Linked DNA regions of Oryctolagus cuniculus. The protein of the gene in region 1 purifies or fractionates together with the protein of each later gene. This does not show direct contact. Links are inferred from orthologs where the notes say so. Each region holds a gene or a part of one and is shown in the gene's direction. Other genes may lie near its edges.

Region 1 (8,278 bases):
CTTCATCTTTTTCTACAGTAAATCATTGCATGTGGTCTAATTGATTCAGAACTCTTGTTAACATGACTGATGTACCCATAATCTGATATTTTAATGATTGAAGTTTTAATAATTCATTTTACTACCTGGTTGTTCAAGTGTCTCTTCAACATTGTTTCTTACTTTTTTCATGGCTTTTCATAGCAAGATTTCTTTACCTGTAGTGTCAGAATTGATCATGATCAGGACTAAAGTAGTGGCAGTGGGGACTCAGATCAAGGACAGAGTGAGTGCAGTTGAGAATTTCCATCTAGAGGGCTTTGAGGTCTTTGGATGGTGGAGGAAAGACAGCACCTGATATGAAGCTAAGCCTCCTGGCTTGGGTAACAATGTTAATGGTATTGTTTTTAACTAAGACTGGGCTAACAAGAGAAGCAGGCTATAACAGAGAGGGAGGACCACATGTTAGAATAGATCAGGGGTAGCATGGGAAATTGTAAGAGACTGTTGATTTTGTGAAATGGATGCTTTGCCTAACAGGATAAAAATTCACCTGGAATTTAAAAGAATAGTGAAATCAGCATGGACTAGATATTAACTAGAATTTGCTGTATCTAATGGATGTTTGACTTTTAAATAAATATTTTATTTATTTGAAAGGCAGGGTCAGAGAAAGAGGGAGAGAGGAAGAGATCTTCCATCTATTGGTTCATTTCCCAAATGGCTGCAGTGGCCAGGGCTGGGATGGGCCGAAGCCAGGAGCCTGTAACTACTTCTAGGTCTCCCAAGTAGATAGCAGGGACATAAATACTTGGGCCATCTTTTGTTGCCTTCCCAGGTACATCAGCATGGAGCTGGATGAAAAGTAGAGCAGTGGAAATTGAACTGGTACTCAAATAGGATGCCGGCATCCCAGGTGATGGCTTAATCTGCTGTGCCAGAACTCCAGCCTCTGGACATATGATTTCTTTTTAAAGATTTATTTATTTTTATTTGAAAGTCAGAGTTACAGAGAGAAGGAGAGGCAGAGAGAGAGAGGTCTTCCAACTTCTGATTCACTCCTCAACTGGCCGCAAAGGCTGGAACTGTGCCGAATCGAAGCCCAGGGCAAGGAGCCAGGAGCTTCTTTCGGGGCTCCCATGCTGGTGCAGGAGCCCACACACTTTCCCAAGCCATACCAGAGAGCTGAATCGGAAGAGGAGCAGCTGGAACTCCAACTGGTGCCCATATAGGATGCCTGTGCTGCAGGTGGTGGCTTTACCCGTTATACCACAGAGCCAGACCCTGGACATATGATGTCTAAGTAGCAGCCTGCAGCAGTCCTTGTCATATAATCTACTATGTGAAATATGCTGTTAGGCTATAAGTAACTTTTTTTTTTTTTTTTTTTTTTTTTTTGGACAGGCAGAGTGGACAGTGAGAGAGAGAGACAGAGAGAAAGGTCTTCCTTTTTTTGGCCGTTGGTTCACCCTCTAATGGCTGCCGCGGCCGGCGTGCTGCGGCCGGCGCACCGTGCTGATCCGATGGCAGGAGCCAGGTACTTATCCTGGTCTCCCATGGGTGCAGGGCCCAAGTACTTGGGCCATCCTCCACTGTATTCCCGGGCCACAGCAGAGAGCTGGCCTGGAAGAGGGGCAACCGGGACAGAATCCGGCGCCCTGACCGGGACTAGAACCTGGTGTGCCGGCGCCGCCAGGTGGAGGATTAGCCTAGTGAGTCGTGGCGCCGGCCAACTATAAGTAACTTTTGTAGTTGATTGAAGAACCTAAGCTTGGGGAGTGGACTTCCCAGGTTTGGGAGATTTTGATACAAAAAATGTTGCAAGTAGAGTTATTGTGGGAAAATCTGTTGATGTAACCGGGCATAAATTCTAGTTTTGATAAGAAAGAAATAAATTCTAGCAGAATATTATAAATGTAAAATATTATTATAAAGAATTGAAAGAGTTTTATAAGCACTTTATAAAAACAAGGCTATATTTTTATTCCTAGTCACCTCCATGCAGAATATGACCAAGCTGGGATGACCCTGACTCTCTTTACCTATTTATTCTGCAGTCTAGGGCTACACCAAATAGGTAGTCTGGAGTCTAATTTATAAGGAGAACATGCAGCTTCCTGGCACCTTTCCGCTGTATCTATACCAATCAATTTTCCTTAAAAACAGAAAATATCATTTTGAATTGTGCACTGTAGCTCTAACATACTGTTTCTTTTAGTTAGACACAGAGAACATAGAGGGAGATAATTTTTTAAAGATTTATTTATTTATTGAAAGGCAGAGTGACAGATTGAGAGAAAGAGAGAGAGAGATAGAGAGAGAGAGAGAGAGAAGTTTGTGTCTGCTAGTTTACTCCACAAATGGCTACAACTATAAACTCTGGGCCAAGCCAAAACCAGAAGCCAGGAACTCCATCTGGATCTCATACAAGGGTGACTGGGCCATCTTTGCCTTCCAAAGGACATTAGCAGGAAGCTGGATTATAAGTGGAGTAACCAGGACTTGAATGGGTGCTCTGATATGGGATGCCAGCGATGTGAGTGGCAGCTTAACTGAGCATACAATAACACCAGCCCCAAGTCGGGAGAATTTTTAAGAGATTGGTTTTCATGAGGTTTCCTCTCTGCCTTTGAAGTTGGGCATTTTTTTCTCCCTAAATTTGGGCTATAGGATCAGAATTATTTAATTTTGGACTTGGAATTAGTTACACAATTCATTTGACTCCTTGTACTTTTTCTACAGGTAGTGAATGAGGCAAATGAGGATCAGAGAAGGCAAGGACCAAGTCAGTCTATAAATCAAAAGTAGAGCTAAATCCAGGAAACAGGTTTTCTAACAAGTGACTGGAGCACTTTCCACTATAATGTGGAGATTCTAAAATTCATATTGCCTTACAATTTTAATGTAGTATATCACTTTGCTCATTGTATCCCCTGCCCTGCCCCCAACCTTCCTTTAAGATTCAGCAAAATTCTAATGCGGAAGAATTAAAAATGGTTTCAGTACTCTCTCCAGAGTATCAGATTTCTGAAAAGAGCTGACACAAAGCACTTTCACAACCAAATTTAATATAAAACCACTGACAGTATGCAAATAAGGCCCAAAGCCACACTTTACAAATGAGCTAGAGAAATAATGAATTAATGTGGTGCCGTTTTTAAGTTTAGATTTCGGTACTACTTTCCTGTTCTTTTCTGATGGATAAGCCATAAGCAACTCCAAACGTGGGTTTGCCATTGCTATAGATACACACCTGGACAGCAACACAGCGGCTAGTAACTGTTCTCATGCTTTTTTGGCAGTGTCTGTTCAACGCATTTACCCCACCCCCATCCTGTTCTACTTGGGTGTCAGGAGGATAGGAAGCCACAATAAGAACAAAAGAGCTGTAACACGGTCTCCTGTCTCCTCCCTCTTTCCTACTGTCCCCACTTAGAACCCACAGGCTCTGGTGTGATGTTCCCTGCATGCCTGGGGGAGGAATGATGAGCAAGGGCTGACGCTGCAGGCAAGTGACACCCCGAAGCTGTAGATTTCTTCAAGTCCAGGTCCGCACCAACCCAAGGCAGAGCGATGGCCTTATCTCTGGAAGAATTCATCCACTCCCTTGATCTCAGGACCCTCCCCAGAGTCCTAGAAATCCAGTCAGGCATCTATTTTGAAGGTAAGCACTCTCTAATTCCTTGCCTGGCTAGAAAGTACTTCTAAGTGGGAATTTGTGGGGGGAATTCTGGTAAAGAGTATGAGTTCCATAGCAGAAAGGGAAAAGGTAATTAACTGATGAATGGTCAAGGCTCAAAAGTGTTAGAGAAGGGAGACCCTAGAGAGGACTCCAGGTGGGAAGGGAGAAGGGATTGAGCACATCTTAAACTTTTTGTAGGCTTTCAGTGGTTTTCACATGATGGCAAATCAAGGTTGAGCTTTCTTTGAAATTCACTGTAACCCATAGTGAAAAGTTTAAAGTTATCAATAATTATGTTTGTAACACATAAAAATGCATGGATACCGTATTATTTGATATGTAGATATTTTAAAATATGTCTTCATTGAAGTATATTCTCTACATAATAATATATTCTTTTCTCACACGCACTTAAGTGAGATTTTTTAAAGAGATGATTAGGTCACGAGGACTTGGGTCACAAGGACCCTGCCCTAATGAACAGATTAATGTTATTATCATGGGAGTGGATTGCTTATCCTCAAGTCTTAGTTTTAAAAGTTTCTCTTGAGTGACAGTTCTTGCCCGCGCTCTGCCTCAAATGTTTGCTGCCCTTCCACCATTTTATGCCACAGCAAGAAAGCCCTCACTAGGTATGGCTCCTTGATCTTGGGCTTCCTAACTTCCAGAACTATGAGAAATAAACTTCTCACATTTATAATTGAAAGAGAAATAAAAGCACAGAGTGTAGAAGTAAATGTTCTTCAAACTCTTAAGTACTTCTATTGCTGGTATCAACATTTCTTTCTCGCTTTCTGTAGTGGCCTAACTCTTAATTCCTTAAATAATGATAATTTTTATTTGAAGGTATAGAAATTAATCTCTATGAATCACAAGGTTATTTTTCAAAATCTTTGCTGAAAATCAGAGTCCACTGATAATTATGGAATAAAAAACGACTGAGTTTTGGTGTAACTTACTACAGTATGTTAATTCACATAATTATTAAAATATCCAAATAATTTTTGAGAGTGTTTATGAGGTTAGTTTTAGCTATGCAAAACAATGATTCGTTTTCTAGATAAACATAAGAGGGTTTCAAAAATTAACAGAAAATGCACATTATTTTAATTTCACTTTGCCATGAATATTTGGAAACTTCCTTATATAGCTTTCTAGTCATAAGAAATTGAAGCAAGAGTTTCAGGTCTAATCTTGGAAAATAAAGCATTATTTTTATTTTCCTGTTCATTGATAGAAGAATGTACACACATTCTCTTAATCAACATGGTTCAACTTACAAGGCTTGACTTGATTTTCCTGCACAATGGTACAAAAGCATACTCATACAACTGTTCTGTTTTTACACTCTCAATATAACATTCAATAACCTGAGATTTTAACATTTTATTATAAAGTAAATTTTGTGTTCAATAATTTTATATCACTGTAGGCAGTTCAAAATTCTGAGCACATTTAGGGTGGGGAAAGCTTAGCTATGATGTTATATTGGATGTATTAAGTACATTTTTGATGTAACTGTGTTTTCAATATAACAATCAGCTTATCCAGATATAATCCAATTATGAGTCAAAGTGTGTCTATTAAATGATGAAATAAAAGAAGGATGGACATGTCATCTTTGGGTCGTATGCATAGGCACGAACAATCCTTACATTACTCTCCCCACACCCTGCTTCAACTTCATATGCCCTGCAGGCAGTGGATTGACACAGGCTATTACAACTCAGTATAGGAATTTGTTTAATTCAATTGTAAATTGATTATTTAAAATCAGATCGAATTTTGTCCCAATACTGTATTATAAGTGTCTCTGTTTCTAAAGCAGCTCCAAATCTTTTCTTAACTCATGCTTTGTGCATTGGAGGCTTTGTGTCAAAAGTCTTTCTTCATGCCTAGGTTACAAAGGCTTTAAAAATTTTTATTTAGGGAATACAAATTTCATGCATTTCATATGTACAAATTTAAGAACATAGTAATTCCTCCCTCCCTACCCTTCCTCTCACCTGCACTCCCACCCTTCTTGCATCTCTCTCTCCTATTCTCATTTTTATATTTTTGCAAAGATCTATCTTCAGTTAACTTTACACTCATAAGATTAATCCTACATCAAGAATTCAACAAATAGTATTCAGGAAAAAAAAAAAAAAACACTTTTCCTCAACAGTCAAGACAAGGCTGTTTAAAATCATGGCATCTTGAAGTGTCAATTTCACTCTTGTACATTACCTTTTAGGTACTCTATTAGTTACCACAGATCAGAGAGAATATATGGTTTTTGTCTTTTGGGGACTGGCTTATTTCACTAAGTAAAATGGTTTCTAGTTTCATCCATTTTGTTACCAAAAAAACAGGATTTCATTCCTTTTTATGGCTGAGTAGTATTTCATAGTGTATATATACCATAATTTCTTTATCTAGTCTTTAGATAATGGACATCAGGATTGATTGTGTATCTGGGTTGATTGTGTATCTTAGCTATTGTGAATGAGCTGCAATAAACATGGGGATATAGATCACTCTTTCATATCTGATTTCTTTTAGTTTGGATACATTCTCAGGAGTGGGGTAGCTGGGTCGTATGGTAGGTTTATATTCAGATTTCTGAGATAACTCCATACTGTCTTCCACAGTGGCTGCACCACTTTGCATTCCCACCAACAGTGGATTAGGGTACCTATTCCCCCACATCCTCACCAGCATTTGTTGTTTGTTGATTTCTATATAAGAGCCATTCTAACTGGGGTGAGGTGAAACCTCATTGTGGTTTTAATTTGCATTTCCCTGATGACTAGTGATCCTGAGCGTTTTTTATGTCTCTGTTGAACAAAGGCTTTTTATTACATTAGTTTACAACAACTCTATGGTTTCGTAGTTTGCATTTAGAATTTGGTTCAATTGGACAGTACTTTGCCCTGAGGTTTACAGGGACCCAATTTTACTTTTCTCTACGTGATTAACCTGATATCCAAGCACCATTGATTTAGCTGGCCATCTTTCCCTTACTGACTTGTGTTGCTACCTATAACTCTTATTAAATGTTCCCATCTGTGTCAATCTGTCTCTGAAATTACATTAGTCTTTTATTTCATAATTGTGCCCAAAATCTCACTATTTCTTTAAATGGTGGAATAAGTGATATGATCATTATATGGACCATTCCTTTGTTTCCCTTGTTTTCACTATTTTTTTCTAAGTTGATTTAGCTTTTTTTTTTTAAGATTTTATTTATTTATTTGAGAGGTAGAGTTACAGACAGTGACAGGGAGAGAAGAGAGAAAGTCTTCCATCCATTGGTTCACTCCCCAGTTGGCCGCAATGGTCGGCCAATCTGAAGCCAGGAGCCAGGAGCTTCTTCCTGATCTCCCATTTGGGTGCAGGGTCCCAAGGACTTGGGCCATCTTCTACTGCTTTCCCAGGCCACAGCAGAGAGCTGAATTGGAAGAGGAACAGCTGGGACTAGAACCGGTGCCCATATGGGATGCAGGTGCCACAGGGGGAGGATTAAGCATATTTTCAAAAACATTACTGATTAGTAAAAAAATTCAGCAGGAATTCTTATTTGCTTGGGTTGATTTTCTAAATAAATTTGGGTAGAACTGACATTTTTATATGGTCTTACAAAAGAACATAGTATGTCTCTCCATGTTTTCAGAACATCTTCATACTTTATTAATATATTATGTTACACTTCAATTAAGATGAATTTTCACAAAGCAAGCAAATTCATGTAATCGATACCTTGATGAAGAAATAGAGAATTACAAGTGTTCTAGAAGCCCTGACTTGTGCCCTTTTGCAATTATCATCTTTGATTGTTCCCCCAAGTTATTCACTATCATGATTTTGGTTCATTATGAATTTTATATAAATGGAAAATCATGGTAGGTGTTCTGTCCTGATTAAAATGTTTGTCATTATATCTATAAAAATAGTCTATACTGCTGTATATAGTTCATTAATTTTCAGTACATATAATGTTCCTTTTTAGAAATATTATCACAATTTATTTATCCACTCTATTCCATTTGAGCATTTGGATTATTTCCAAATATTTCCACGTTATCATGAAATTCTTATTCATGTGTACTCACAATTACACGAACTCAGCTAGGTATAAAAACAAGTGGAGTTTCTATGTCATAGTGTATGTGTATGTTCAGACTTGCTAGGTAATGAAAAACAAGTTTTCTAAGTAGTCAGATTTACATTCCCACTGTGAGAATCTGACACTTCCAGTTAATCCATTTGCCAACTAACACTTGATGTCACCAGGCTTACTTACAGTCATTCTAGTGAGAGTTTAGTGCTGCATCACAGTTTTAGTTTTAGTTTTATTTTGGTAAAATTTACATGTACTATTTGGCACACTGTCTGTTATGTGATTTGCAAATGTCATTCAGTTTGTTTCTTGAAATTTCATTTTCTTAATGGTGTCTTTTGATAGATGGAAGTTCTTAATTTTAGTGTTAGTATTATCATTTTTTAATTATTTTACATTCAGTGTACTGTCAAGAACATTTCTTTATTCTAAGTTAATGAAAATACTTTGTATTATCTTCTAGAAATTCCATTATTTACTTTCACCTTCGGATCTGCAATCCACCTGGAGTTTAT
Region 2 (7,485 bases), on another chromosome or scaffold:
CGGAGAGACGCTGGAGGCCCTCTGTCCTTCTCCCCGGAGGCCGATGTGGGAGGCCGCCTGTCCTCGGGGTGGGGGGGGCTGTGGAGAGAGGCTCTCGCGTGGCCTCCGAGGAAGCAGTGGCAGTCCCCCTCAGAGCTGCTGCACACAGACCTGGGCCGGAGCGCTCGGCCGCATTCCTCACTGCCCCGCCCGGTCTCTGCCTGCTTTCCCACCCTCCCTCCTTGGTTTGGGGCCGCAGAGCGGAAGGCACAGCGAGCCTTTACCCTCTCCACTGGTCTTTCTGATGACCTTGGTACCCCCAGGACTCAGAGGAACACCAGACCCTGGACTCCTTTGGTTCCTGAGCTTCAGTTGAAAAGAACGTGTCAGCCCTCGTGTCTTAGAATCGGTCTCCGAGGTTTGTAGAGTCTGGGCAACCCGGGGGAGGGCTGCAGCAGTGCGCAGGCGCCTCAGGTCGGCTGGGACGGTCCAGGATCGTCGCCCGCTCCGTTCTGCCGAGTTCTCTGTGGTGACTGCAGTGTTCTCAGAACGGATTGTCCAGCAGTGGCATGGAGTACGTTGAGTACTCTTTGGGGAAAATAAACATTGTATCAGGAGTTGGTTTGATCTGCAGAGTACCAGAGGAGAGGCTGAATCCAGAATAGGAACAAGAGACCGCATCCTTGTGTTGAAACTTCCTCCTACCACGTTTTCTTTCAGGTAATCGTGGACTGTGACGATGTTAGCAGTTGCTCTCTTAACACGAGCTTTGTAACTAGTTTTTTTTTTTTTTTTCTTTTTAAAATAAAGCCATTTTAATTAATTGAGAGGCAAAGAGAGAGAGGGTGGGAACCAGAAGGAGCGTGCTTCTACCTGCAAGTTTATTCCTCCAAAGAACTACAGCAGCTGGGGCTGGGCCAGGGCTGAAGCTGGGAGCGGGGACTCAATCCACATCCCCAGGTGGGTGGGGTGGCAGGAACCCAGTTATCTGAGCCGTCCCCACTGCCTCCTAGAGGGTACATTAACGGGGAGCTGGAGTCAGGAGCTGCTGTGGGGAACTGAACCCAGGAATCCTGGTAGGGAAATGAGTCAGCCACGGGGCTCCATGCTTGTCCTCATAGCTGGGACTTTCTTCCTGATCTGCAAGATCCATTTCTCTTGCTGATATTTGTGCCTTGATGGCTTTAGGAAGTTTGTGGAATGGGCGACTGTCCCCAGAGAAAAACAAAACATAAAACCTTTCCCTGCCCGGAACCCATCAGCAGATAGATGCACACACACCTCCCATTGAGCAAAACGGCTCCCTTTTTGGCAGCGGAAACGGTTTCCTTGGTGCCGCGCTTTTCAGCTCGCCTGCTCCTGAAGCCAGCAGCGACCGCGGGCTGGGCACTCAGTTCAGGGGAAGTGACGCGCATAGTAGGTATCAGATGGGTCTGGGGATAGAAGAAGCAGTTGGGTCAAAGCCCCGTAGGCTGCCTTTCCGTGACAGAGCTGTTCACACTTGGGTGAGAGAAGGCCTCGAGTCCTCCTACACAGGTGCGGAAATGAACCAGACGGTCTGGCTCGGTGGGCAGCTCAGCCGCCTCCACATCCTTGTTTGCCTTGCCCTCAGAGTGACTGGCAGATCTCTAGGACTCCAGACTCCGTGGTGCTAGACAGCAACAAACTGGAGCCCCTCCCTCTCTGGGGCTTGTTCCCTTAGAGATGAGCAAGCGTGGACTCGCCTTTGACCGTGACTTGATGGGCAGCTCCGGGAGAGCCCGGTTCTCGTCCCACTTCTCTAAGCACCTGCTTTTCTTTCTTTTCTTTTCTTTTTCTTTCTTTCTTTCTTTTTTTTTTCTTTTCCTTTTTTTTTTTTTTTTTTTTTTTTTTTTTTTTTTTGACAGGCAGAGTGGACAGTGAGAGAGACAGAGAAAAAGGTCTTCCTTTACTGTTGGTTCACCCTCCAATGGCTGCTGTGGCCGGTGCACTGCGCTGATCCGAAACCAGGAGCCAGGTGCTTCTTCTGGTCTCCCATGGGGTGCAGGGCCCAAGCACTTGGGCCATCCTCCACTGCACTCCCGGGCCACAGCAGAGAGCTAGCCTGGAAGAGGGGCAACCGGGACAGAATCCAGCGCCCTGACCAGGACTAGAACCTGGGGTGCTGGTGCCACAGGCGGAGGATTAGCCTATTGAGCTGTGGCGCCGGCCCAGCACCTGCTTTTCTTCTTTGAGCCCTTCCTTCCTTATATTTTTATCTATTTATTTTCATTTTGTTTCAAAGGCAGAGAGAGTAAGAGAGAGTGAGTGTGTGTGTGTGAGGGAGAGAAGTCCTCCATCCCCATTTGACGCCACAAATGCCTGCAACAGTCAAGGCTGGGTCATGCTAAAGCCAGGAACCCGGAACTCAAGTCCGGGTCTCTCACATGGGTGGCAGAGCCCAAGGACTTGAGCTGTAATCTACTGCCTCCCAGCATCAGCCTTCTTGTGTTAGCAGGAAGCTGAATTTCCAGGAAGCAGAGTAGCCAGGGCTGGCACCCAGCTCTGACAGGGGCTGCGCTTGTCCCAGGTCGTGAGTTAACTGTTGAGCCACACGAAGAAGCCAGACGTGCCATTTCCCTGTTAGACTGTTTGCTGCCAGCCTAGGCTTTTGTTGGGAGCTCACGGAGGTTAACTGTCTTTTCTCTGGTCCCTTCCAGAGTAAATGTGTCAAATACTGGCCCGATGAGTATGCTCTAAAAGAATACGGTGTCATGCGTGTTAGGAACGTCAAAGAAAGTGCCGCTCATGACTATACCTTAAGAGAACTTAAACTTTCGAAGGTCGGACAAGTAAGTATATTGTCGTATTTTAGAGGCCGGGGCTCGTGGTGTGCAGTGGTCCAGGGTCCTGCAGCTACGCTTGTGTGCGTGCACTCCTGCCTGGCTTCACACATTGATTAAGTAGCCGTTGTTGGGATACCTTCTGTGTGCCAAGCACAGTCAGGCACTCCTGGTGCATGTGAACGAGACAGGCATGGCTGTGCCCTCCCAGTGCCTGGGGAGAAAGGACATTTAGAGTAAATTGAGCTCCCTGAGTTCAGTCTGTAGGGGCCCAGGGTGGTTGGTGTGTTCCTGAGTGACTGGGGCCTTGAGATGGAGTCCGTGGGGCAGGTCTCTCTCAGAGCTGATGTTCCAGGGTGGCCCCTAAACCAGGCAGCTCCACTGTCAGGGAGTGAGAGACCTGCCCCCAGAGTGGCTGCATGTCCACGCCCTGCACCTTGGAAAACGGTCAACAAGGTCTCTGCCCTAATTCTTCCTTCCTGGGCAGGGTGGAGCTTATGTGATGTTGCATGGCAGTGCTTTAGAGAAAATATAAAATTCTGTACAAAATAGAAACCACATTACCAGGATTCAGGAGAAACCAGCAGTCTTCCATCAGCACCTGCACCCAGGGTGCCAAACTCCTGGGCCAGTGTGCTACTGCAAAGGAGCTACGCGGGGAGGTGGCGGGGGGTGTGGGGGGTGTCCTGACAGCTACTCAGAAACCCGTGGTGATGAGAAGATGGGGCATTTGTCAACAGAACCGAAGATAAGCGTCTCCGGCACCTCGGTCTCTCATTTCTGCTTGGCAGCTACCTTTGTAATTGTCGCTTGCCTTGGGTTGTCCCCAGATATGCAGGGACTGGGTAGCCATGACTAGTGCCACTGCAGTGACCTGGGCTGGGCTGAGCACAGACATAATCCCCCTTGTCTCCTGCAGTCTCGGGGCCTTCGCTGTCTCTGTTTGCGATCCCTGTCCTCAGATCAGCCCTCGGGTGCTGGCCAGTGGCAGTGTGCCGCTGAGCTGTCCGTCCCCACAGTGGTATAGAGAGGCGGCGAGAGAGAGGTGATTCTTCACATTTTGCACATGGAGACATTGAGGCTCAGAGCTGCCCAAGGGCTGGAGTGAGTGTGAATATCTGGGGTTTGAGCCTAAACCTCCCCACCCGACTCCCAAAGTCTGTCTGCTTGGCTTCTTGGCACGGGAGCGCCCTGGAGACTCAAGTGGGCCTTTAGGTGGCGACTGAGCGCCGCTGGGCCCGCCAGCACCGGTGACTTCCGTAGCAGGTGGGAAAGCTCAGAACCGGGCGGCTCCTCCACCCCTTGATTTATTTAATTCGGTTCTGGTTTTTCTTGGCTCTACTCCAGGGGAATACGGAGAGAACGGTCTGGCAATACCACTTTCGGACCTGGCCGGACCACGGCGTGCCCAGCGACCCCGGGGGCGTGCTGGACTTCCTGGAGGAGGTCCACCACAAGCAGGAGAGCATCATGGACGCCGGCCCGGTCGTGGTTCACTGCAGGTGACAGCCCCTGCCCCTCCTGCCGCAGCCTGTGCCTGCCCCCCAGGGCTGCTTTCACCGGCCATCCCTGGCAGTTTACCTGTGCTTAAGGCCTGAACAGGCTGCAGTAGGGATGCTCGCTTCCTACAGACCCTGCAGGACTGCGGGGTCGGGCTGGTGGGCGGGCTGGACACAGCCCTTGTTCTCACCGACGCCCCGTCTAGTGCTTCTGACTACGTTTTCTTTTGAAATCCAGTAATTTAGGGTCCATCTCTTTGTGATTCTGTTCTCTTCCGCTGAGGAAGTAAGAGATGAAGGGTGTTCACCGAGTTAGTGGAAAATGCATGTTCTAAAATGCTGTGTGTAGATTTCACAATTTTTCTTTGCACCCAAGGAAACTTATCTTTTAGCTCCACTTCCCACAAACTTTTTGATGTCCCCTCACGTATTTTCCCCGACCCTGTCCTTGTGCTTATTTGCTTCAAAAGATTCCAACTGCTTCGTGCCGAGGCCTTTGATGGAAGCCGAGCCCTGCACCAGAATGTGCTGGCTGCTGGTATCCAAGTCTGCGCTTCGTGATTGTACTTGGGGAAGTCTGATTTCCTAATCTCATTTGTGTGTTGGACAAGTAGATGTGTGAGAGGACTTACTTGTTCTGTTTTTTAAAAAACTGCCATTTATTGTCCTAACCTCTGAATTAAGTGCTTTTCCTACATTATTATTTTTTAAAAAAAATTATTTATTTGAGAGGCAGAGTTACAGAGTAGCAGAGGCGGAGAGAGAGAGATCTTGCATCTGCTGGTTCACTCCCCAAATGGTTGCAAGGGCGGGAGTTGCGCTGATCTGAAGCCAGGAGCCAGGAACTTCTTCCTCGTCTCCCACATGGGTGCAGGGGCCCAAGGACTTGGACCATCTTCCAGGCCACAGCAGAGAGCTGGATTGGAAGTGGAGCAGCCGGGACTCGAACTGGCACCCATATGGGATGCCGGCACTGCAGGCTCAGTGCTACCTGCTACGCCACAGCGCCGGCCCCCCTCCATTATTATGTCTTATCCTCACCGTAGTCTGTGAAGCATTGCTGTTGTCCCCATTGCACAGGAGGGGACACTGCAGGGCTTGCCTCAGGCACACGGTACTGGAGAAGTTGGGCTTTAAGCCCTGGTTGGCTGATGGCAAAGCTCTGTGTTCGTTGCTAATATATCTTCAGATATAAACATACTATGTTATAAGTACTCCCAAGAGCAGATATTGTTTCTGTTAATATTAATAGCTTGGTTTTTGGGTATAAAACTCCCGTGAGTGATTCCACTCTCCCTGCGTCTTGTCCTTCTGCCCACAGTGCTGGAATCGGCCGGACAGGGACGTTTATTGTGATTGATATCCTTATTGACATCATCAGAGAAAAAGGTAGGTCTCCCGGAGGGCCAGAAGCTGCAGCTCCGGCTGTTAGTTCCTGGAAGGAAGGCGCTGGGGAAGGGAATTCGAATGTGAAAGCGTCTCACGGAAACGGGCTGGCACTTCTGCTTTCAGTTCACGTGAGAACGGAAGTTGTGCTGTGTGAGCTTTTGGCCTCAGATGCAGCCCAGGAGCTGAGGACCCTACTGCCACGGCCTTTGTCGTGAAGGCAGTGGTGGGTTCCTACCCAGCTCCCGAGTGCTGGCTTACAGGACTGGAAAGGGGAGTCGGAATCCTGGTGTCTGACACGTTGCCGTCTTCCTGGGTCGCTGGGGTTGGGCCACAGCCCAGGGGAACGTGCTCAGCTCGCACCTTAGCGAATCTGCCTCCTCTCGCATCTGCTAAGAGCTGGATGTGGACGAGCTTCTCGCTGACCCTGCAGTCTCCTAATGCTTCGTGGTGGTTGGTTGCTTTGCAGGTGTTGACTGTGACATTGACGTGCCCAAGACCATTCAGATGGTGCGGTCTCAGAGGTCAGGGATGGTGCAGACAGAGGCGCAGTACCGCTTTATCTACATGGCTGTCCAGCATTACATTGAAACACTACAGCGCAGGATCGAGGAGGAGCAGGTACAAGCCAGGAGGGGCTGGCGTGCAGGTTTTCACATCCTCTCCGGGCAGCCTGGGGGTGCTTTCCTCCTGAGCGGGGCCCCAGGCTCTGATAGGCACCTGTGCTTATTTGGGGGTGGAAACAAGTACCCACCTAGAAGGGCTTCCTGGAAGCAGTAGTTAGTTGCCACTCTGTTTGGTACAGAGGCACCCAGGGAGGGGCCCGCCAGGTGGAGCAGCTGCCGTGCCATGCCTGCGATTTTCCCAGGCTCACGTGGCAAGCTCAGCCCTCAAAGCCTTGGTGTTTCCAACCTGTTCCAGCTTTGATCCAGGCCATGTTTATTCTGATTCCATCTTCTAAAATGAATGCCTCACTCTTAATAGCGCACAGTGGTTTGAACTACTAATTTGGTCTAGTTGGAAACAGTGAAATTTCAGTTTTAATAAGCTGTGCATAATGAAGAAGGATGCGGAATTGGCACCTTTCCATTTGAAGCTTTTCATAACAGACACAAAACTGTGTTAATGAGGAACCTGCTGAAACGAGAGGAGGGAGGAGAGGACTGCTCCTTTGGGGAGCTGTGCCCGCCCCCTCTCCGAGCCCCCTCAGCCCTGTTGCTGTGCTGCAGATGGGGAGACGTCTAAACATCAGTGCCATTTGCCTGCTCCTCTCTGTTTAGTGCCTTCCAGAAAACTGTGTCTCAAACAGGGACCCGCCACCTACTTGAAATATCCAGTGGGATAGCAGCCACGCTGTCAATGTTGGCTTAGCCAGCGTAAGGCACCTGTGAATGAGTGTAGTGAATTCTCAGTCCACAGGGAGACACTGGATTGTTTAATTGTACAGAAGCAGCATATATAGAGAGGTCTGGGGCCAAATAATTAACAAGATCCCAGTTGTCATTTTATTTTTATTTCTTTTCTTTATTTGCATTTTATTTGAAAAACAGAAGGATAGAAAGAGACACAGAGACAGAGCTCTTCTATCCACTGGTTCACTCCCCAAACGCCCTCAACAGCTGGGTTTTCGCCAGACTGAGACCAGGAGGCTGGGGCCCCGTCTGAGTCTTGCGCGTGGGCAGCAGGGACCCAGGGACTGGAGTCATGCCCTGCTGCCCTGCAGGGTGTGCGTTGAGCAGGCTGATGCGGGCCGTGAACATGTTCCAAATGGTGCCTCCACAGCAGCGTCAAACGTCGCCCCAAGCTTGCGATGAGATACT

Evidence for each region.
Region 2: the proteins of THEMIS (region 1) and PTPN11 purify together in Homo sapiens (co-immunoprecipitation; 3 studies listed by BioGRID and IntAct, counting the BioPlex papers as one, with this or other methods). This does not show direct contact. The link is inferred for Oryctolagus cuniculus from reciprocal best matches to the Homo sapiens genes THEMIS and PTPN11.

Annotation. Positions count from the first base shown.
Region 1 is NC_091436.1:41,531,427-41,539,704, forward strand, and holds the start of THEMIS (protein THEMIS), read left to right. Parts: upstream 1-3,347; 5' UTR 3,348-3,552; coding exon 3,553-3,643; intron 3,644-8,278.
Region 2 is NC_091452.1:9,790,488-9,797,972, forward strand, and holds part of PTPN11 (tyrosine-protein phosphatase non-receptor type 11), read left to right. Parts: intron 1-2,657; coding exon 2,658-2,789; intron 2,790-4,115; coding exon 4,116-4,282; intron 4,283-5,600; coding exon 5,601-5,668; intron 5,669-6,134; coding exon 6,135-6,286; intron 6,287-7,485. UniProt on the Homo sapiens protein: Acts downstream of various receptor and cytoplasmic protein tyrosine kinases to participate in the signal transduction from the cell surface to the nucleus. Positively regulates MAPK signal transduction pathway. Dephosphorylates GAB1, ARHGAP35 and EGFR.